4 linked regions of the Drosophila melanogaster genome follow. The protein of the gene in region 4 interacts with the protein of the main gene of each other region in a pairwise test. Each region holds a gene or a part of one and is shown on either strand. Other genes may lie near its edges.

Region 1 (2,913 bases), on a different chromosome or scaffold from region 4:
AGTGAACGATGTACACGTTCTGAATAGACTTTTTTCGCTCAGTGTAAGAGGTAGCAGCGCCGTCCGGTTCGATCGGCTACTCCGTAATCCAATTAAAGGAACAATCTACATTTCAATTCAAAACTAATGAAGTGTAGAGAATTCGCAACAAAGGCTGACATGTGTTGATTGTTTCGACGACTGCAGTGCTGGTATTTGAAAGTCGTGGGTTTCTTCTGACTCCATATAGTCCATACAGACACGTAATACCTGGCTTTTTAAAGCCATTACTAACAAGCTTCCCTGTAGAGCACCCAGAGTTCCAGCTGCACAACTTCCGTCCAGCACAAGCACACATTGTGCGTAGTCCAAACAATTCATTGATTGATTGTCGATATGGCGATCAATTAGACAGATTATGGTTTTCATTGATCGCCATCCAGCAGCAGTAGTGACAAACCCAGGGACAGCTGTCAATGGTCACTTGTATCTACTTCTATATGCACAATATATAAACGCCGACTTCGATTTCGATTTCTATTCTCGGCAGCACACCATTTTGATTCTCCTACTGCTACTGGGACTTGTTCTGTGGACCGATTCCTCGCTGGCCGCCCGTCGCCTGAGGAAGAAGCCCAAGGTCTACAACGCTCTCATCACCACCGACGACAACCTGACCTCCAGCCGCGCCTATCCGGTCATCCAGCCCACCATTCACGAGCCGGGCTACGCCCCCTTTGGACCCTACAATCCCTACGGATTCTACAGTCCGCCGATTGTGAGATTCGGCCAACCGATTGTCCCGGGATTGACGCCAAATGAGAGGGTGAGCTTATGGGTTTCATTAAGTTGCTAACACTGATAAACTTAGCGAAATATTTCGCAAGATTAAATTACTGCTAGCTATAATAAGACAATGATTAATTTAATAATAGGTATCATAAAAAGCTCACTCTAGAAATCTCTGACTAGAGCAATGAACCGCACTCAAAAAAGAAATATAGTAGTTTAAACTATTGAAACCTTAATATTACAGCTCCCTTACCCTCTGCCATCTGCCGCCCAGTATCCCGCTGGCTATGCTCCATATGAACCCCAACAACCGGTGGAGGCGCCAGTGGAGCAGCAGCCGCAGTCGGCGTCGCCACCCGGAACCGTGGAGCGCCAGGAGATGCCCAAGGAGCAGATGCCAGTGCCGTTGAATCAGCAGGGATTGCCGCCCGTGCTGATACCACTGCCCTCCCAGTTCAGAGGCCAACCCATGCACCTGCCACCGTATCCTTACAGCCAGTATCCAGTGATCTATGACCAAGCGGGCTTCATAAGGCAGAACTACTTGCCGCCGTACGACTACTATCCCAGCCAGGGTTATCCCCTGCGGGCAGCCACTTTGCCGCGCGCGGAGCAGGAACAGCCACTGAATCCCGTCCAGAGTCCACCTTCGCCACAGCCACTTCCCCTGGAGAATCTGGAGCCGGCGCAGCCCAGTTTCGAGGACATTCGCAACGGTTCGGAGAGCAAAAACAGCGCGGTGCCGGATGTTCCACCTCCGCCAATACCCTCCGGACCCAAGCGTCCACGGCCCGCGGAACCGGAACCGGAACCGGAAGCGGAACGCAAACCGGAAACGGACAACTGATTGCGGGCTGACCAAAATTCCACACACGTATTTATTACCATTTCGCTTAGGCATAATATCGATTCGATTGTACAATGTCGCCTTAACCCGTAAGCTAAAGTAAGAGTTCATTCAGAGATAACGAATAAAAAACATAAAATCGCACTGGCGGTGATTGAACTTGGATGGATGTTCCCCAGTTCCCCAGGGAAACCAGGGGACGATTTCGCTTTCGTCGGGGAATTGGGAGCCGTTTATCTCAGCTCTGATGGGACTATAAAGGCAGTCGAGTTGCCGGGAAAAGTTACAGTTAACATCGAAAGGGGAACTCAGAATGAAGCTGGCCCTGCTCCTGATCCTCTGCTGTTGCCTCATCGGAATGGGTGAGCTACAACTTTGGTCTTTGGATACCCAATGAATAACAATATCCAATATGCAGCGATTGGTGACTCGGTTTTGGTGACCAAGCCGCCGTTCATTCGCAGTCGCTATAGCTTGCGTTGGAGGAAGACAACCACTGTGGCGCCTGAAGTGGTCACTGGATCCAGTGGATCAACCGTTAACACGGTCACCACCACCGACCATCCCAAGCTGGCCACTTCCACCGCCAGTTCGGATTACGACTATTACGGAAATGGGGAGACGGAGAATGTGGTGCACAAGTAATAGTCATATTCCAGCCATATGACTATATATTAACACTTGATATAATCAGAGCGACTTTAATGTCATAACAATGTAAGAGAAGGCCATTTAATAAATAAACTGTATGTCAAATCTCTAGAAATCAATAAGAAATCCAATAAGAAATCTAAATTCAAATTACGCGGCATTAGACTTTATAACAGTTATGTTGCTAGCAGACGTTGTCAAAACAAGTTGGCAGTTTTTACAGCTCCATGTTAACTCAATGTTAGCTAACATACGACACAAGTCAGCTGTTCCGCGCCGACAGCAACAGCAACAAAAACAGCAGCTAAGAACAAACGAGTTTTGGATCGAAAATGTTGTTAACAATTAAATGCGCTCAGAATGTGATTAAGCCGAACTGCCAGAAAGTGGCCAATCTGCTTGCCAGCAGCCGCAGAGCTGGTTTATTCCCCACAACTGCAACAACAGCAACGAGTAGAAGGTATTCAAAAGGTGGAATGTGCGGAAGGGGAGGGAGGGGCAAAAATACCAAACTTAAATCTGAGCTTTATTTTTCGCGCAGCCTGTCGCAAATCTCAGTTCTGTATTCGCCAGCAGCGAGAGAAGCAGCACGGGCAGCAACTGGTGGCAGTGCGAATCTCCGGAGAATCCACAACACCCCAACC
Region 2 (3,656 bases), on a different chromosome or scaffold from region 4:
CGGTAGTGGGCCAGAACATAGCCTTTGATTTTCTGCGCAACAACTGGCAGGAGATCAAGACCTAGTAAGTGGCGAAATTGTCGCTTTATTCCGTGCATTACTAAAGGGTTTGCATTTTTTCCAGCATGGGCTCACAGATGTCCAGCATCCACACGCTGTTCAAGTTCGCCACGAAGGGCTTCAACTCCAAGTTCCAGCTGGGCGAATTTGAGAACTTCGTGAAGGACGCCCACTGGGACTACGACAGACCCGTGCAACAGATCGTGGAGCACATCGAGACCAGCGTCGACTGGATGAACAAGAACTACAAGTCGATCGTGCGGTGGCTGGAGAACGAGGCGCAAGCGTAAGGAACGGATTCTGCGGCTTGGCTGGATCAAGGCTGCAGCAGTATTAGATTTCGCAGCTGCAACTGCATGGGTTGGGCCACCAATGCATTTATGTGTAATATTTATGTCGCGTGTTTTACCAATTCAGAGTCGCCAAAGAGAGAAAGCCCTTGGCAGATCGTCCAGAGCATCACGTTTTTCATTACTTTTAATGTATGCCTTCTTTTCATAACAATTATGAGTCTTGTAATTTTAATTTGTACTTAAATGTAATTGTAAATGTAAATGGAATTATAACATTGTTCGTCACAAAAAAGTTTTGGAAAGCCTATTCCTGTTTCACAGCCTGGTTTTTTCATTTCGGAACTCTGATCACATTTGCAAACATCAAGGTGCCCACAAAGACTAGCGCGGTGCCCAGCCAGTGCCACCAGGTGAAGGGATTTCGGAAGTATACGATCGAAAAGACCAGCGAGATGAACTTGCGGAGTGTGAGGATCAGAGTCACCGTCAGCGAGCTGCACTCCGTGGTCAGGGTGTAAACGGAGCTGATGCACAAATGCTGCGCAAGCACGTTGCCCAATAAGTATAGCAGGATTAGGGGCACTGCCACGCCCAGGAGGGGCAACTGGTAGGACTCGCCCGTGAACGCCAAAAGCCAGTGCGTCCGTATGTCGTCATGCATGAGCAGGAAGGCGGGCAGCGGCAACAGGTGGGTGTAATACAACGCTTCCCTGGCGCACTTGCCATGACGTCGATACAGCAACTCCTGTGTAATTCCCATGTAGGAGGAAACAAATAGAGCCAGCACCAAGAGTGCCACGCCCAACAGCCACCAGAACGTATCCGCCTCGGCGCCACTATCCAAATTCTCCATCTTACCCACCAAATCCGGACTGGAGAAATATGTGCAGACGAAAATGCCCACGCTGATCATGAGCACCGATATGTACTGACTCAACCGGTAACTCCTCTTCAGGATCAACGTGCACAGGCACATGTTGGAGATCAGCGAACCGCCGCGTATGATCATGTGCAGTGTCATTGGAACTTTGAACTTGAACACGTAGTTGTTGCATACGCTGGTCAGGAAAAACATGGCCACGAGGAGCGCATAGTCGCGCAGGCTGATCACTCTCTGGGCCAGGCCAAACTTCGAGGTGAAGATGAAGCCCTCGAGGGCAATAAATGCAAACTGGGCGCCAGTTATAAGGTTTCCAGCGCCGGGATCCAGTTTAACCAGGAGCTCCAAGAAGACGACGCCACTGCAGCAGCCCAAGAAAACGCCGCAGATGGCCGAAATAGCGCGGATGGATAAATTCATGAACTCGCGCAACGAAAGTAGACGATTCCCACCAACTTTAACCTACGATCTGGGCCATGACGAGCTTTTAAGCCAACTTACTTTCTCTTCGGCCATACAAAACGTAAACAAATGCAACAGGTGGTTATCGATAAAGTTCGGTTCGGGCACAGCTGATGTTGGTCTATCGAAAGTGGTTGAAATTCAAATATTCCAAGCGAAAAAGAAAAAATTTATGATTTTAAGAGAAGAATATTTTATTTAATGTACATTACATTCAAAACCAAACTTAAATATGTTGCCTAATCACATTCGAAATATTCGCACCAACAGTCTTTTACAACAATTACAAAATACAATGATGACAATGCTAAGAAAGAAATTACAGATTAGCAAATTAATGGTATATTACTTATTTTTCCTTTTCCAGCAAGGCAATAATTTTGTTTAACTTTTCCGTCTGCTGGGCCTCGAAGTTGTCCAGTCTCTTAGACACTAACAGCGTCAGCTTCTCAAATCTCATGTCGATGTGCTCCTTGAGGATTGCAACATCGGTGGAAGGCGGTGCAGTCTCTTGGGTTTGGTCCTTCGCCTGCGGGGAATAGCCCTTCATCAGGCTCATGAACTGCTCGAACTTTTCGGCCTGCTCCTCCTTCTTCAAGGGACTCGTGCCACCCCTTTGCAGCAGCTCTTGGATTCGCTGCGCATCCATTGGCCTGGGCAACTGGGTGGTTATGCCGTTGGGATTCGGCGCCACCTGGAGCAGGGCTCCGTAAACGCAGATCTCGCTGGCCGAGGTGAGCATCTTCAGGTTTATGTCATTTATCCCGGATCGGTCGATTTCCATGTCATAGCGATAGGGTCGCACCGCAACCTCTGGGTCCTCATCGTCGACGCAAGTGCCGTAGATGGTCTCGCAGTACTCCTGCAAGGGTCCAATGAACAGCTCCACCTTGGGAGCGCTGCAAATCAGGGTGAGCGCGGCGATTTTGAAGCGGTTCGGGATCTGGAAGCGCAGCTCACAAGGCGGCGGCGGATCCGCCGACTGCATGGAAAACAGCACGGCGCGATTCTCGTCGATCACGTCGTCCAAGTCGGGCCTGCGGACAAAGGAGGTTTCAAAATTACTTGATAAAAACCAGTTTCGGGGCGTGGAATCCTTTGTCTCACTTCACAAAGACGTCTTCGTCGGACAAGCGGGTGGCCACCAGTTGGTCCAGCCCGTTGCCCGACAGCTGGGGCCAAGTGCAGCGCGCGGTGACCTTTTCGCACATGCTTTAAGTGACAAAAAGTTGGAATTTATGGGAGCAAAATTTAAAAACAGCCAAATTTAAAAACCAAAACACGAATATAGTGATGACAAACGCGAGCGATAACATCTGCGCGGGGGATGCCAACCTGTTGCACAGCGCAAACTAATTGGACATTTGAAGGTAGCTTGACGCGCTATTCCAATAAGACCATACTCCGGAGTCCAATCAGAGAAGGCACCGCATCTGCGCACTACGTTTTTCCAACAGAACGGCAATATCGCGGCCTGACAGCTGCGACCTTGGACGGCTCCCTTGTAGGTCAAACTTCAGCAGAATTCCCACATATTGCAGTCGCAGCAAGGCGGCAGCTTAAGAACGAGTACACAATTATCCGCAGAGTGATCAACGCAGCTAAAATGGGCGGCAAGTACAAGATCGTGATGGTGCGCCACGGCGAGTCCGAGTGGAACCAGAAGAATCAGTTCTGCGGCTGGTACGACGCCAACCTCAGCGAAAAGGGTGAGTGATTACATCAATTTGAAATTTAAACCTCATATGTGGGATTAAAAATCTGATGTACATCTAGTTTCCAATCGATGATCCTTTGCTTTGATCAGTTTCACAATAGTATTCCTTTTCATTTACCCAAATTAATCTTCATTGACCTAGTGCAACATTATCTCATTCAAACTTTTCTGTGATAAAAATAGGTCTCTACAAACAAAAGCTTTCCAGTGCAATTTTCAGAAGCATCAAAATTCTAGTTTGTTA
Region 3 (4,455 bases), on a different chromosome or scaffold from region 4:
TTTGAGCCGGCGGCGACTTTTTTATTTGGCAATTATGTTGTTTAGACCTCGCAGCAGATTTCGCACCTCGAACATTTTTCATGCACCGAAACACGGAAACGCCCACTCATGGACTTTGATTCCATGTTTTGGGGCATGTCACTGGCATGCGCCGTCATTAATTCTACCATTTCCCAGCCCCCTGGACTCCCATGAATTGTCTATACCGACCGAGCTGTTGTTCTAGCCGCTTTCATTTTTCAAAACGGATTTCAGCTTTTTTCGACACTTGACAAGTGTTTTCGACTTGCGGCAGAAGGTGTCACAAGCCATGGACAGATTTGAGGTTGATTTCGTTGGGCAGGATGTACTTCTCAGCAATTTTCGTGGGCGGAGAGATATGCAAATGTAGGGCGTTTATGGCTTGAATTAAGGACTTCTATCTAGGCGAATTGTTTTTGTTTTGTGTTTTGTCTGCATTCAATTTTTATACATAGATATAAAGTCACTGTACACCTTTACACGTTTATTTTTGAACTAAGAAAATTGTCCGTGTTATTTATAGTCTATTACATTCTTTATTTAGCGACAAATACAACATAACGGAAATAGAATATAATCTTAATGGTCAAGAATAGATAGATGATATCAAATTTGGACTAGACGGCACGCTTCGATTTCCATCGGGTGCCATTGTGGGGCAGGGGACTTTTGATATTTGGCGATAGGCAAGTCCATAATCGCCGACTTCCCAGGATCAGGGTCAAATTATTCCCTAATCCAAGGTCATAGGTTCGATCAGAATAATCGTGCATTACTGAGTTTTTGATGACCGTCACTACTTGGGTGCAAAACAGTGCTGCTGGAAAGAGAACGGCGAATATGTTGACACCTAAGACACTGACTATTCGATAGAATATCACTAATTCTTTTCTACCAGGATTCATGTAAGCATTAAAAATAATGTAATTGGCTTTGACTAAATCAAAAAATCCAACACCGTGCTTATGGGCCAACATGAAGTTATCAAATAAGGCCACTGCGCTACCGATGGCCGCGTAAAATGAGAACCATATGAAATATCGCTGATTATTGTGTCCCACGCAGTTGCCCACAAAATTGCAGTGGTGATCGCGTTTCAGAATGCACGCATCACAGATGTTGCAGTGCCAGGACCTTGGCGGTACATTCCTTTGGCATATTTTGCAAAAATGCCACAGGTGCTCTTCACCTTTCATTGGCTGCTGCATTTGCGGCGGCAAAGAGTCCACAGTGTTCAACGTCGTGACGCACAGCCTTAAGTTTTCCAGAATATTGTAGACAATCCAAGTGGTGACTAAAAAATGAACCGCCTGTCCAAACAATCCCAAAAACTGTGGCATTACGTAGAAAGCTTCGAAGAAGTAGAAAAACAAGATTATGCAGACATTTATGGATACTCCCATGATATCTGTCCAGGATTTGATGGCCCCCACGCGTCTTGGGATGTTGATGGTCTGCATTTGAACTTGTGATTGCATGATGCCCCGAAGCTGTACAAATACATGAGAAATTTTCATCAATCGGATACACGGAGAAACTGTAATTTTGGTGAATGATGCTGAACACTATGATTAAAATACAAAAGGTGGTATATCATGTCAGTTTCAATATAGTTAAAATTTTTAAACTTGCTGATGTCGTACCGTTTGATCTTCCACTGGGCACCATCATGGGGCAGAGGACTCTTAACGGTGGGTGAGAGGAAAGTCCAAAAGCCTTTTCCGCCCAAAATCAGCTTGAAATTCTCCCACAAGCCCAGATCGTAGGTATCACTGTAAAACTTATGCAAAGTGCCATTATTTTTAAGTACAGATAATTGCATAAGCACCGAAGATACAGGGGCTGCAAATACGTAGGTGTTTAGTATAAGAGTGATGACCAGCCAAAATGGAGGTAAGTTATCCCTAGGGATATTTAGGAATATCAGGTCCGAATAGCTAAAATACTTTAGGGTGGCAATAATATGGGTAGCCAAGGCCACACCAGTTCCCAAAGCCATGAAGAGGGTGAACCAGAAAAAGTATCTCTGATTATTGTGTCCGACGCAACTGGCAGTGAAAATGCAGTGGCGGTCCCGCTTCAGAATGCAGCACTTGCACAATATACAGTGCCAGGATCTTGGAGGCATTAGTTTTTCACAAACATCGCAGTAATGCCACTGGTGCTCCTCTTCCGGCTCCGGAATTTGCCGATCCTTTGGCAGGCTCTCCACCGAAGTGCTTGTGATATGACACGCAAGCATATTGCCAAAGATATTATATGTTATAAAGATTGCCACTAGCCAGCCGAGCTTGTACATGAATCCTTGAACATCAAACAATTGGGGTACCACGTAAAACATTTGCAGGACCACAAAAAAGATCGTTGTCACGATTACGAATAGTACTGCGGTCGGATGGGAGATTCGAACGAATATCTTTGGATTTCGACGCGCCAAGTACTTGGTGCAGGCCCATATCAAACACATAATTTTCCGATTTTAAAATTATATATAATTCAGAGTGTAAGCTTGTGTTTTCTGATTTGATGTTGACGAGTTAAGCATTACGTAAAAATTTTCTTTAAAAACATTGCTTAATTTTCCAGTGAGTTCCATCATGCGGCAAAGGACTTCTCAGCGAGGGAGATATAAAAGTCCAGAGTCCTCGCTGACCCATAATAAGCTGGCAGTTATTTCGGAAACCCAAATCGTGATGGCGACTGGAAATTTGATAGTACGTTGAGTTTAACTTTAGAATCTGCACTTGAAATCTCAACATGAGGGCAGGGAATCCGAGGGCAAATATATTGAGAATCAAGCACACGTACCGAAAGTAACTTAAAGATTTTACTGTGTTTCCAAAACCAGCCTTCATTCTGTGCAAAAGATAAAAGCTCCTTCCCACATCAACAAATAGGGTTGCCATGCTCATGAAAATCCCAAATGCCAAATAGAATGTAAGCCAGAAGAAATATCGGTGATTATTGTGTCCGATGCAAGTGGCTGCGAAGATGCAGTGGTGGTCTCGCTTCAAAATGCAGCATTTACACAGTGCACAGTGCCAGGATCGTGGAGGCATCAGTTTCTGACAGATATCGCAATAATGCCACAGGTGCTCCGTTCCCGGTTTCGGAATTTGCCGCTCCTGAGGCAGACTTTTCACTGCTGAGCTTGTACGGTAGCAGGCCAGCAAGTTTCCCAGGATATTGTATGTTGTAAAAATCGCTGATATCACAAAGAACTTATACATAAAACCATCATGCACATCGGGGGCCACATAAAAGACCTGCAGCGTGAAGAAAAAAACCGTGCTCACCAGTAAAAAAATCACTGACAAAGGATGTCCTATGCTCACGGCCTTCTTAGGATAGAGATTGGCATATTCGCGGCACCAATCATTTACGATACACATGATTGTAGGATTTTGAATACAACACCGTATTTTCCACAACTTGACATTAGATGAAAATAAGTTATGATTGGCTTGTTAAAATCGATATATATTTTTCAATAATTTAGTAATACGTCTATTAATTTAGTGAGACTGCTTCATCTGCCAATGTGCACCGTCATGGGGCAAAGGACTCTTCAGCAAGGGCGATATAAAAGTCCAAAGTCCTCGTTGGCCCATTATTGTCTGGCAGTTCTTTCGGAAACCCAGATCGTAGGTGCAATCAAAAATATTATAGTAGGTAGAGTTTTGGCTTAAAATCTGCATTTGATATGCCAACATAAAGGCAGGCATATAGCTGGCGCTTATATTCAAGAGGAAGGCAATGGTCTCAAAAGTATTGCCAGTATAATTTTGGAAAAAAGTCCTAGTTATTAAATTAAAAATCACAGACGAGAGACTCATGAAGTTACCGCCATTCTGCAGGATAAACATACAAAATGTTGCAAAGCTTGTGACTAAGCCGAGCGTTAAATAAAATGTGAACCAGAAGAAAAAGCGTTGATTATTGTGTCCAATGCAAGTGCCCGTGAATATACAGTGGTGGTCCCGTCTCAAAATGCAGGTGTTGCACAAAACGCAGTGCCAGGATCGTGGCGATCTCAGCTTTTTACACGATTCGCAATAGTGCCACAGGGGCTCATCCTCTGGATTCGGGCATCGGGAGTCCTTGGACAAGGTGTTTACCGATGAGCTAGTCATATAGCAGGCCAGCATGTTACCAAGTATGTTGTGCGTTATGAAGGTGACCAATATCCAGTAGAGCTTGTAAGCAATGTCGCCAAACACTTTGGGCGCAATGTAAAACATCTGCAGTGAGAAGAAGAAAGCTGTGCTGCACAGGACGAAAACTATCGAAAGTGGATGCACTATCCTCACAAAGTTCTTCGGGTAGCGATTGGCAAAGTAATGGCAAAATCTATTCACGTAGCACATTTTTTAGGATTTTGAAAACTTCTGTTGTAAATTATAGACTAAATAGAAACATTTACATCACAGAAGA
Region 4 (7,990 bases):
TTAAAGTGGATACCATATATACTATATATTTTGTATAATTGTTATTGAACTAATAAAGATGAAAAAAATGTTGTTAAAATTCAAAACAAACGTTGTGAGCTGTAATGAAATAAAAATAGTTATGTGCAATCTTACCCACTTAACCTACTAAAATGATAATTTCCTTTGTAGTTGAAGATTTTATTTGACACGAAAGCCATGGGTCAAGAAATCATTTTAATACAAAACATATCTAATAACTAAGGAATGTAAAAAGAGTATTCGTTAGCTAAGCGAAGTCCACCAGACGTTTCGACTTCGAAGGCTATCTAATCTTTGGCATAGGCACGGGAATGCTTGCAATTTTCAGTTGGGTGTTTTAGAGTGTCACTAAACTATGAGCTACGACTAAAGCACTAGGACGGCTTAACTATCTAAATGGCGTGAATGTGGCGGTTCTGTTCAATCCTGCTTATTGTCGCTGATGGCTGTGGATGCAGTGGCCACACTTTCACCCGTCTGGGATTTAATAATGGTTGGCTTACGGCCTTTTTCGAGGAGCGGAGAACTGTCCGGAGATCCTTTGACACTCTTTTCGCACACCAAAGTGGAGGCCTTGGACTTCAGTTCCTCAGCACTGGAGAATTGAGAGCGACTCTTATACTGGCCATTCGTTTTGGTTTTGGTCCTCAGATCGTATCTACGATTTCGACAGGAAGCCAATAGAATCTGAACCGGAGTCCAGCAGAGTAGAGTTATGCCTACGATCAAGCAAATTCCGGCGAATATATGTCCGGAGAGCATGACAATGGGCAGCACCTTCAGTTGATCTGCCATATCTGGAGTGATTCTTACTTTCTGTTCGAACCATACGAGTGGGAAAAATATCCTTGGTATTCCAGTGTATAAGCTAATGCCTTGGATTGGCTCCACGAGCATATTCACTTGAAATCGGGCAGCCACCTCCAGGGGAATACCAGTACTTGGCTGCACAACCATATAAAACTCGTGATCCTTCTGGTTAGGACTCAAGCCCTCTACCTGATCTGGGTAGTAAGGATCGGCGTTGAAAAAGTGTGGATAGGACATAAAAACAGGAGATCCAAAGCGACAGGAACTGATGTTCATCACACCCGACGGAACACATTGGCCACCACAAAAACAAAGGTTCTCAGGATACTGGGTGCCTGAAATATAAATCTCTAATAGAATGGGTACTCACAATTAATCAATTCTTATCAAGACTCACCATTATCTACAGATCGTGGTCCGCCTGAGAATTTATAACCTTCCAGTCCTTCAATATCCACAGTTTCCACATAATCCAGCGGAATAGTTCGGCACATATCGGGCGTAAATAGACCAACACTATCGCCGGGCTTCAGATGCTGTGGCTGGAACTCCCCGGCGGATCCATTGGTCATACCGCAATAGGAATCAAAGAATCCAGTGTTCTCCTGGTAATTCCACGAGTGCATCTGACCCAGTTTGGCCAGTTGATCGGCGCCAGTGAAGACATTAAAAACTCCGGTAAGATCGGCACTTCCATTGCGCGTATAGAACCAACCGAACTTATCGAATGGAACCTTCACCTCATCACCAAAAATGGGCATGGCCATGGCCACGTCGATCATTGCGTCATTGTAACCGGTGAAGAGCAGCTCATCGATCGATTTTTGGACAGACATCTCGGCACCGTACATCTTTAGTCCCACATCGACAAGGGAGCGCTTAACTGGTGGCCAATATTTGGCTGTGGCGGCTGCAGACTGAAATGGAAATGTATAGTTATAGTTATATTATGTAATAAAAGGGAATAGGATACTTACCAGAGCCACTGCATTAAGCGTGGTAATCTCATCGTCCAGGCTGCCATTACTGCCCGCCGCATCAAAGTAGAACAAGCTGCGCCTGCGATAAGTGACGGATGCATTTTCTGGATGCCAGTGAATGTCCACCTTATCGGGTCGCTCGATAAAACGATAAGGACCCACCTGCTCCAGAATGGGCTTTGTGGAAAGGTTGCCGAAATCCTCCGGATTCGTCCAGTTGTACAGGTAGATGTCCAGACTGAGATCAATTGGCGGACTCTTCCAATTTTCATAGACACGTGTGTCGGGGGCCAGAGCCATTTCCTGTCGAAGAACAGAAGCCGCAATTGGTATTAATTGAAAATCTCAACGAGTTTTCCTCGATCTTTGACTCGCGCCAATTGAGAGGCGGCTGTTTTTCTTTTGACTTTCAATTGGCTTTAGCCACTAATCGAATGCAGCTGGCCGGGCTAACACTGGAGTGAAGTGAAATGAACTTAACTGAACCTCTGTCAATGACTGGGATTACCTTGTGCATGATCCAATCGAACAGGTCCACCCAGAACATGCCGCACAATATGCCAAATAGTCCCAGGCAAAAGCCGAAAATGCCGATAATTAATTTGCGATTACTTTTTTGGCCCCACATTGCGCTGTTTTGTGTTGGCATGGCTCACGCTGGGCGATGGTGTGTGGATACCTAATGGTGGCTGTAATGATATGCAAGTCATTGAAACATCAATGAAAATGGATAAATTGATAGTCTATTTGCCAACATATAAAAATGGATCAAATGAAAGAACTCATAAATGTAGTGCAAGTTGAGAATGTACTGATAAGTTTTCTATTATAAAATCATTATGAACAAATCATAATACAATAATTTAAAATATAACTTTACACAATATTATTTTGTGAACTCATGTTCATGTTGCCTACTTTCAGGCAGTGCTAGTTAAAGAATAAAAAAAATGTAGAATCAAATCTCTTATTAACAGATGCATCAAGTCACATATTAATATAAGTATGGCGAACAAAGAAATCAACAAAGAATTGAATACAAATAAAATGCAAAAAGCGCAGCATTTTATTGAGTGACGAATTCCCATAGCGTCTATTTTTATCAATATAATTGAATCAATTTAAGCAAAGCGTGACTTTCAATTGCTGTTTACACTCATGTAGAATATACTAAGTCCGGTAAGTATATGTGTACATATATACAGAACTATAGTCGAATCCCCTATCAGTGGTGATAATTACAAAGCTTCCCCCGACACTCAACGATGATGTGTTTTAATTAGTTATGATAGTTTGAAGCTGCATTGCAAGCAATACGTGTAATTATCCATTTCGTTTACGAATAACATGCATGAATGTGGATAAAATATTTTATGATCGCATTCGGTAGGCGAATTTTCCTATATGGGGCATTCACTGTGGTCCGATAAGCGGATTCTGAACTCTTAGGTAAACAGACCCATGAGGAAGCCACAGACAATTGAGGAAATTGAACTGCACTGCACTTATCGCTTATCGGGAATCCATCCTCTGGCAATTATTTGACCAATCTGCCCAGAGTTCCCATCACCAAACACTATGTATCACTTGAGCATAAATATTGCATATGTACGTACATATGCCACAGGTTCGCATCTCTGTGATATATCGTCATAATTGAGTCTATCAATTGACCCCGCAGTGAGCTATGGTTGGGTCTTTGACACTTTGCGTTATTGCACATGAATACGAGTAGGAATCTATATATATATATACACATATATACATATATATATGCTTATTTGGGAGCGTGTCAGTTGTGTTCTGGTTGGTGTCTGGTAAATTGATATGATTATGTCTTTTGAATGATGAATAGCTGTCGAGCATTTGTCGGCGCCTTTTTATTGTCTTCACAATTAATCTGAAGTGAGTTTTAATTGAAATGGACGTTGGACAGGTGCATCACGTAGAGTTCATCCCGCATTTTTCGCTTAATTCAATTAGATCAAGAGCAATACCGCACATAACGAGGATAGATTTTGAATGGAAATCTAAGAGATTTTAGCAGGAATATCTCTTTTTGTGAGAAAATATTTATAGCAAGATACGTTTTTTTTTCAGTGCAGTTCTTTGATATTCGCTCTTGAAGCTCGAAGCCGCAACACTGAATAATTGCGTTTAATTAAGCTTAAATTTTAGTGACCGGTATATTTGATTCATTATTAAATTAGGCATGCTCTTGTCATACTCTCTGGTTCTTGATCTTCTATATTAACATTTTTATGAATGCTCCGAACGCTTTATTCATATTCTATGCAAATGCACCGAGAACACTGAACTCTGAAGTGATGCCACATCGAAAGTGAATGCATTCTGAAACATTCTAGCAAGAATTATCTGCCTTTTTGGCGTTAACTTCCTGAGTGCAAGTGCACTTGATATGAAACGGAAATTCTAAGTACTAAGTCAGACGCAGTAAACCCGATACTTTAAGATCGTCTACTGGATGTGAGACAAGTCAACACCTTCTCAGTTTTTCCTGATGTTTTTCAACCCCATTTAACCACAAAGGCTGCCATTGAGATAAACCGCAACTTACAGATTTGACGCAGTTCGCAAATTCACATATGCTTGGGCGAGTATTTTTTGATAACGAGCTATCGGCATGTAATTGAGTTTTCGCAGCCTTCAAGTACGAAAATACACACGACGATTTAAAAAAAAGCCAACAACTATAAATAAAGAGCGAAAGGCTAAACCGTAAATAGGCTTGGTACTTTTAAAGGTCCCTGAACTGCAGAAAGTTATTTTGTTTCTTTTTAATGAACTTTAAATCAAAAAATTTCTTTAAATGCCACTTTTACGTAGCCAAGATTTCAGTATTAACTAAAGTTGTTTAAGCCCTTTGAGATTTTAATTAATTCATTGTGAATTGATTAATTGATTTGACTTTAATTGTCCAGCATGAGTTGAATTCTTAAACGAAACTTTAATGAACATGCTATTAGGGGCTAGTTTCGATTATCTTGAACTATATTTAAACGGGTCCCATGAGTAATTTGCCAACGAACAGCTGTATTTATTGAGGATTCGCCAATCTGGGCATTGATTATTCAATTAGCGAATAGCTGGAAAATGAATGTGAAGTTTCTTTGGCTCTTTATTGCATACAATAAAGAAAATTTAAATAAATATTTTAATTTGCAATTTTTAAGACATTCGTTGGTTTTCTATTAGAGTATTTACATTATTTGTTTTTCAGATATTTATTATCTTATAAAGGCACACGCAACTGCAATTAGTTGGGAGCAAGTTGATATTTAATTATCTTGAACTTTAAATGGTTAACAGGTCGCATACGCAATGTGTTTTGTACACCACTGTTTTGTTTTTTATTTATATACCAAATAAGATCAGCTGCCGTTCTTTTGCAGAAAATTCCAAAACATATACTAGATTTTTTTATTTTTTCATTATAATTTATCATCGCCCAATTTCGTTTTATGTAAAAATACAAGCTACAAAACATAATTCGTCAACGGGGCGCATGCTTAATATTTTCCTGAGCAGCTGTTTTCCCTGGGACTAATTTTAGACCATTAATCGCACAATCAACAGGTCGCCTCGTAGTCCAAGCTGGAAGCCCTTTGTTTTGCATTCCGGCACTCTTATTTCTTCAAAAGGGAGACGACACACAAAGCCAGTATAAACACAAAAAGAATGTATAATATAGATTGCCACTGTACATACATATATATTTGGTTTTCTGTCTGGCGACTATTTTTCATTCTTGTCGAGTTAATTTCATTTAATGACCTGTAATCTTAATAAGTCTGCCGGCGATTAAGCCAAATCAAGCCAAAACGTAATGTGTTAACAAAGCAGGAAGCGCTAAGAAATTACGTGATATTGCGAAAGGAGTTTTCTTTTGTCTTTCCAAATTTCCTTTATTTTCTTTTAAAGGCACTCACTTGACTTTTATTTGCTAAATAGAAACAAATCACAGGCTCCTCGGTTTTTTTTTTACGTTTTGATTTTCCTTGCGAGGAAATTGAAATTCGATAAGGATGTGGACAGAACGCTTGAGCACGTGGATGATTTCTTTGCACAGAGGCCGGAAAAGTGGACACGAGTCCCTGGGAAATGCCGTAAAATGGTACCGCTTCGCCCGGCGGCTTCGATGCGACTGTGCGGCGGACTCTCAGCGAACGGACCGCGAGCAGAGCGGAGCGGTCTCGGCGGCCGATGAATGTCAGTCAAGTGCGGCACATGGAAATGGAAATGTATATGGAATTGGGCTTGAGAAGAGCTCCGAGTATCCGAGCAACGGTGTGTATGTGTGTGTGCGAGTGGGTGTTTGGGTTAATTTGCGCTTTGGGCTTTTCATAGTTGTGCCATTGAATTTTGAATTAAACAATATACAATCTGAAACGCGAGTACGACTTTAAAACTGTAGAATGCATCCAAGGGAAGAAGTAGTCAGAAACAACAGTGTCACCATCTTTATATAAATTTTTGGAAATAATCTAAATTGAACCATTTGCTTTGTTAAATACGTTTACAAATATTTTAGTTTCTTATATATATATTTTTTAAATATTTACATCTAATAAATATCAAATGATATAAAAATGAAATGAATGAACTGAAAGAGTCAACATATTTTCTATTGTTCAGTCGAATAGCAAATATAACTGGGTCACATTTCAAAAAATCACAATCAGCGAAAGAAATTCCTATGCACTTAGATTTCATAAAACTGCGAATTTTCGCATACGAATCGGGTGGCTTGTGGAAAAGTAAACAAATCGTAAAGTAGAAATCCGAATTGATAACAAATTGTCGAAGCCTTATCAATGCGGCTAATCGTGATGATTAGCACTGGGTGAACAGCGAACATTCACGACTAACCCCACACACTTGTAAGCTGCGAAAATCGACAAGCGATCAGAGCAAAGTTTCAACTGTTTTTTTGTTTTATTTCGCTATCATAGGGGCACAACTCCCCAGCAAATGGCATAGAAAACACCCATGGATTGCAGTCTGAGGCAATAAAACAATAAAATGTCATTGCTTCAGTGCGTATTCAGGCTGGCTTCCTTATTGGATTAGTCTTTTGCCTCCTTTCACATGGCGTGCTAACTGGGATTAGCTATCAGTTGTGGCCAAAAGTCAGTTACCGCTGCAGATTATGTTGCAATGTTGTGAAGTGGAGCAAGCAGAAGTGGGTCAAGCCAGCCCTTAGCTTCGAAATGGGTCTCGGCCAGCATTATCCATTTGAATTCATTAGTGAAATTCAAGCAGCTCATGTCAGCCAGCAACACAGTCAGTGACGTAGCAACCAGCTTGTTGTTGTCGATTGGCTTACGTTACGTGAATACGTAACGTACTGATTAAGTGCAATTGAAATGTTTACTTGCTTTAAATATTATATCATAACTTAAAAAATACGGATAAAAAATGTAATTTACTGCGAGCTGGAAAACTTTAATTTATTTTTCATCTGTACGTTAGGACACTTTATGTTTAAATTTAATTGATTAATGTGTATATATAATTTTAATCAATCGCCGAGATGAATGGAATGTAAATTATTTGTTGAATTGGAGCTGGTGTCGTCCATGTGATGTGTGAATCGAAACTGAATTAGGATAATGAGGTAGCACGTGGCAGCACCAGTAATCTGCAAAAATTAACCACTTAAATAAATAAAATATTTAATTATTTTCAACATTAGTTCACCGTAAAAATCAGTGTGCGATCCAGACGAAAAAGTCCTGCGGCTGTGAAAAGGACCTTCCGATGCGACAGCTGCAAGGACAGACGGAAAAGTCGATCTCTGAGTTCTGGATCATCGGTGATATTGAGAATCTTGTGAACTATAGCTGCCGTATAGCTGCTATGCAAAATAGTCCGACTGCTGCCCTCCACGATCAGCACTATGATCACTATATACCAGATGAGCTGCATCAGGAAGAAGGCAAAGAACTCATCGGCCTCAAAGACATCCAGTCGTTTGGGATTCAGAATGGCTTCCAAAATGTAAAAGTCATCAAAGAGAATGAACAGAAAGGATATGGCTATGATTCCGAGCAGCGGATATGTGAAGTATTCCTCGATGGTCTGGCAAATGTCGCAGAGCAGATTGTGTATGTTGGACACCTGTTTGATTGCGTATTCGGGATTGAGGCGTATGACGG

Evidence for each region.
Region 1: the proteins of santa-maria (region 4) and CG34296 interact in a two-hybrid assay, tested with the Drosophila melanogaster proteins (one large-scale study listed by BioGRID).
Region 2: the proteins of santa-maria (region 4) and CG14511 interact in a two-hybrid assay, tested with the Drosophila melanogaster proteins (one large-scale study listed by BioGRID).
Region 3: the proteins of santa-maria (region 4) and CG17198 interact in a two-hybrid assay, tested with the Drosophila melanogaster proteins (one large-scale study listed by BioGRID).

The regions. Positions count from the first base shown.
Region 1 is NT_033777.3:29,720,628-29,723,540, forward strand, and holds CG34296 (uncharacterized protein), read left to right. Parts: upstream 1-1,910; 5' UTR 1,911-1,931; coding exon 1,932-1,980; intron 1,981-2,036; coding exon 2,037-2,263; 3' UTR 2,264-2,386; downstream 2,387-2,913. Other genes in the region: CG15506 (uncharacterized protein), read left to right, coding at 530-805, 1,016-1,618; Pcd (pterin-4a-carbinolamine dehydratase), read left to right, coding at 2,602-2,729, 2,811-2,913.
Region 2 is NT_033777.3:29,145,149-29,148,804, forward strand, and holds CG14511 (uncharacterized protein), read right to left. Parts: upstream 1,746-3,656; 5' UTR 1,654-1,745; coding exon 685-1,653; 3' UTR 530-684; downstream 1-529. Other genes in the region: superdeath (suppressor of ER stress-induced death), read left to right, coding at 1-64, 125-350; CG11882 (uncharacterized protein), read right to left, coding at 2,045-2,732, 2,803-2,906; Pglym78 (phosphoglyceromutase 78), read left to right, coding at 3,302-3,404.
Region 3 is NT_033777.3:25,772,794-25,777,248, forward strand, and holds CG17198 (uncharacterized protein), read right to left. Parts: upstream 2,577-4,455; 5' UTR 2,489-2,576; coding exon of another isoform or gene 1,665-2,488; intron 1,607-1,664; exon of another isoform or gene 1,587-1,606; coding exon of another isoform or gene 1,539-1,586; coding exon 639-1,538; 3' UTR 541-638; downstream 1-540. Other genes in the region: CG17197 (uncharacterized protein), read right to left, coding at 1,538-1,586, 1,665-2,488; CG17196 (uncharacterized protein), read right to left, coding at 2,583-3,413; CG17195 (uncharacterized protein), read right to left, coding at 3,537-4,388.
Region 4 is NT_033779.5:7,445,188-7,453,177, forward strand, and holds santa-maria (scavenger receptor acting in neural tissue and majority of rhodopsin is absent), read right to left. Parts: upstream 6,058-7,990; 5' UTR 5,762-6,057; exon of another isoform or gene 2,501-5,761; 5' UTR 2,461-2,500; coding exon 2,320-2,460; intron 2,115-2,319; coding exon 1,809-2,114; intron 1,749-1,808; coding exon 1,229-1,748; intron 1,167-1,228; coding exon 442-1,166; 3' UTR 168-441; downstream 1-167. Other genes in the region: Gr28a (gustatory receptor 28a), read right to left, coding at 7,354-7,473, 7,533-7,990.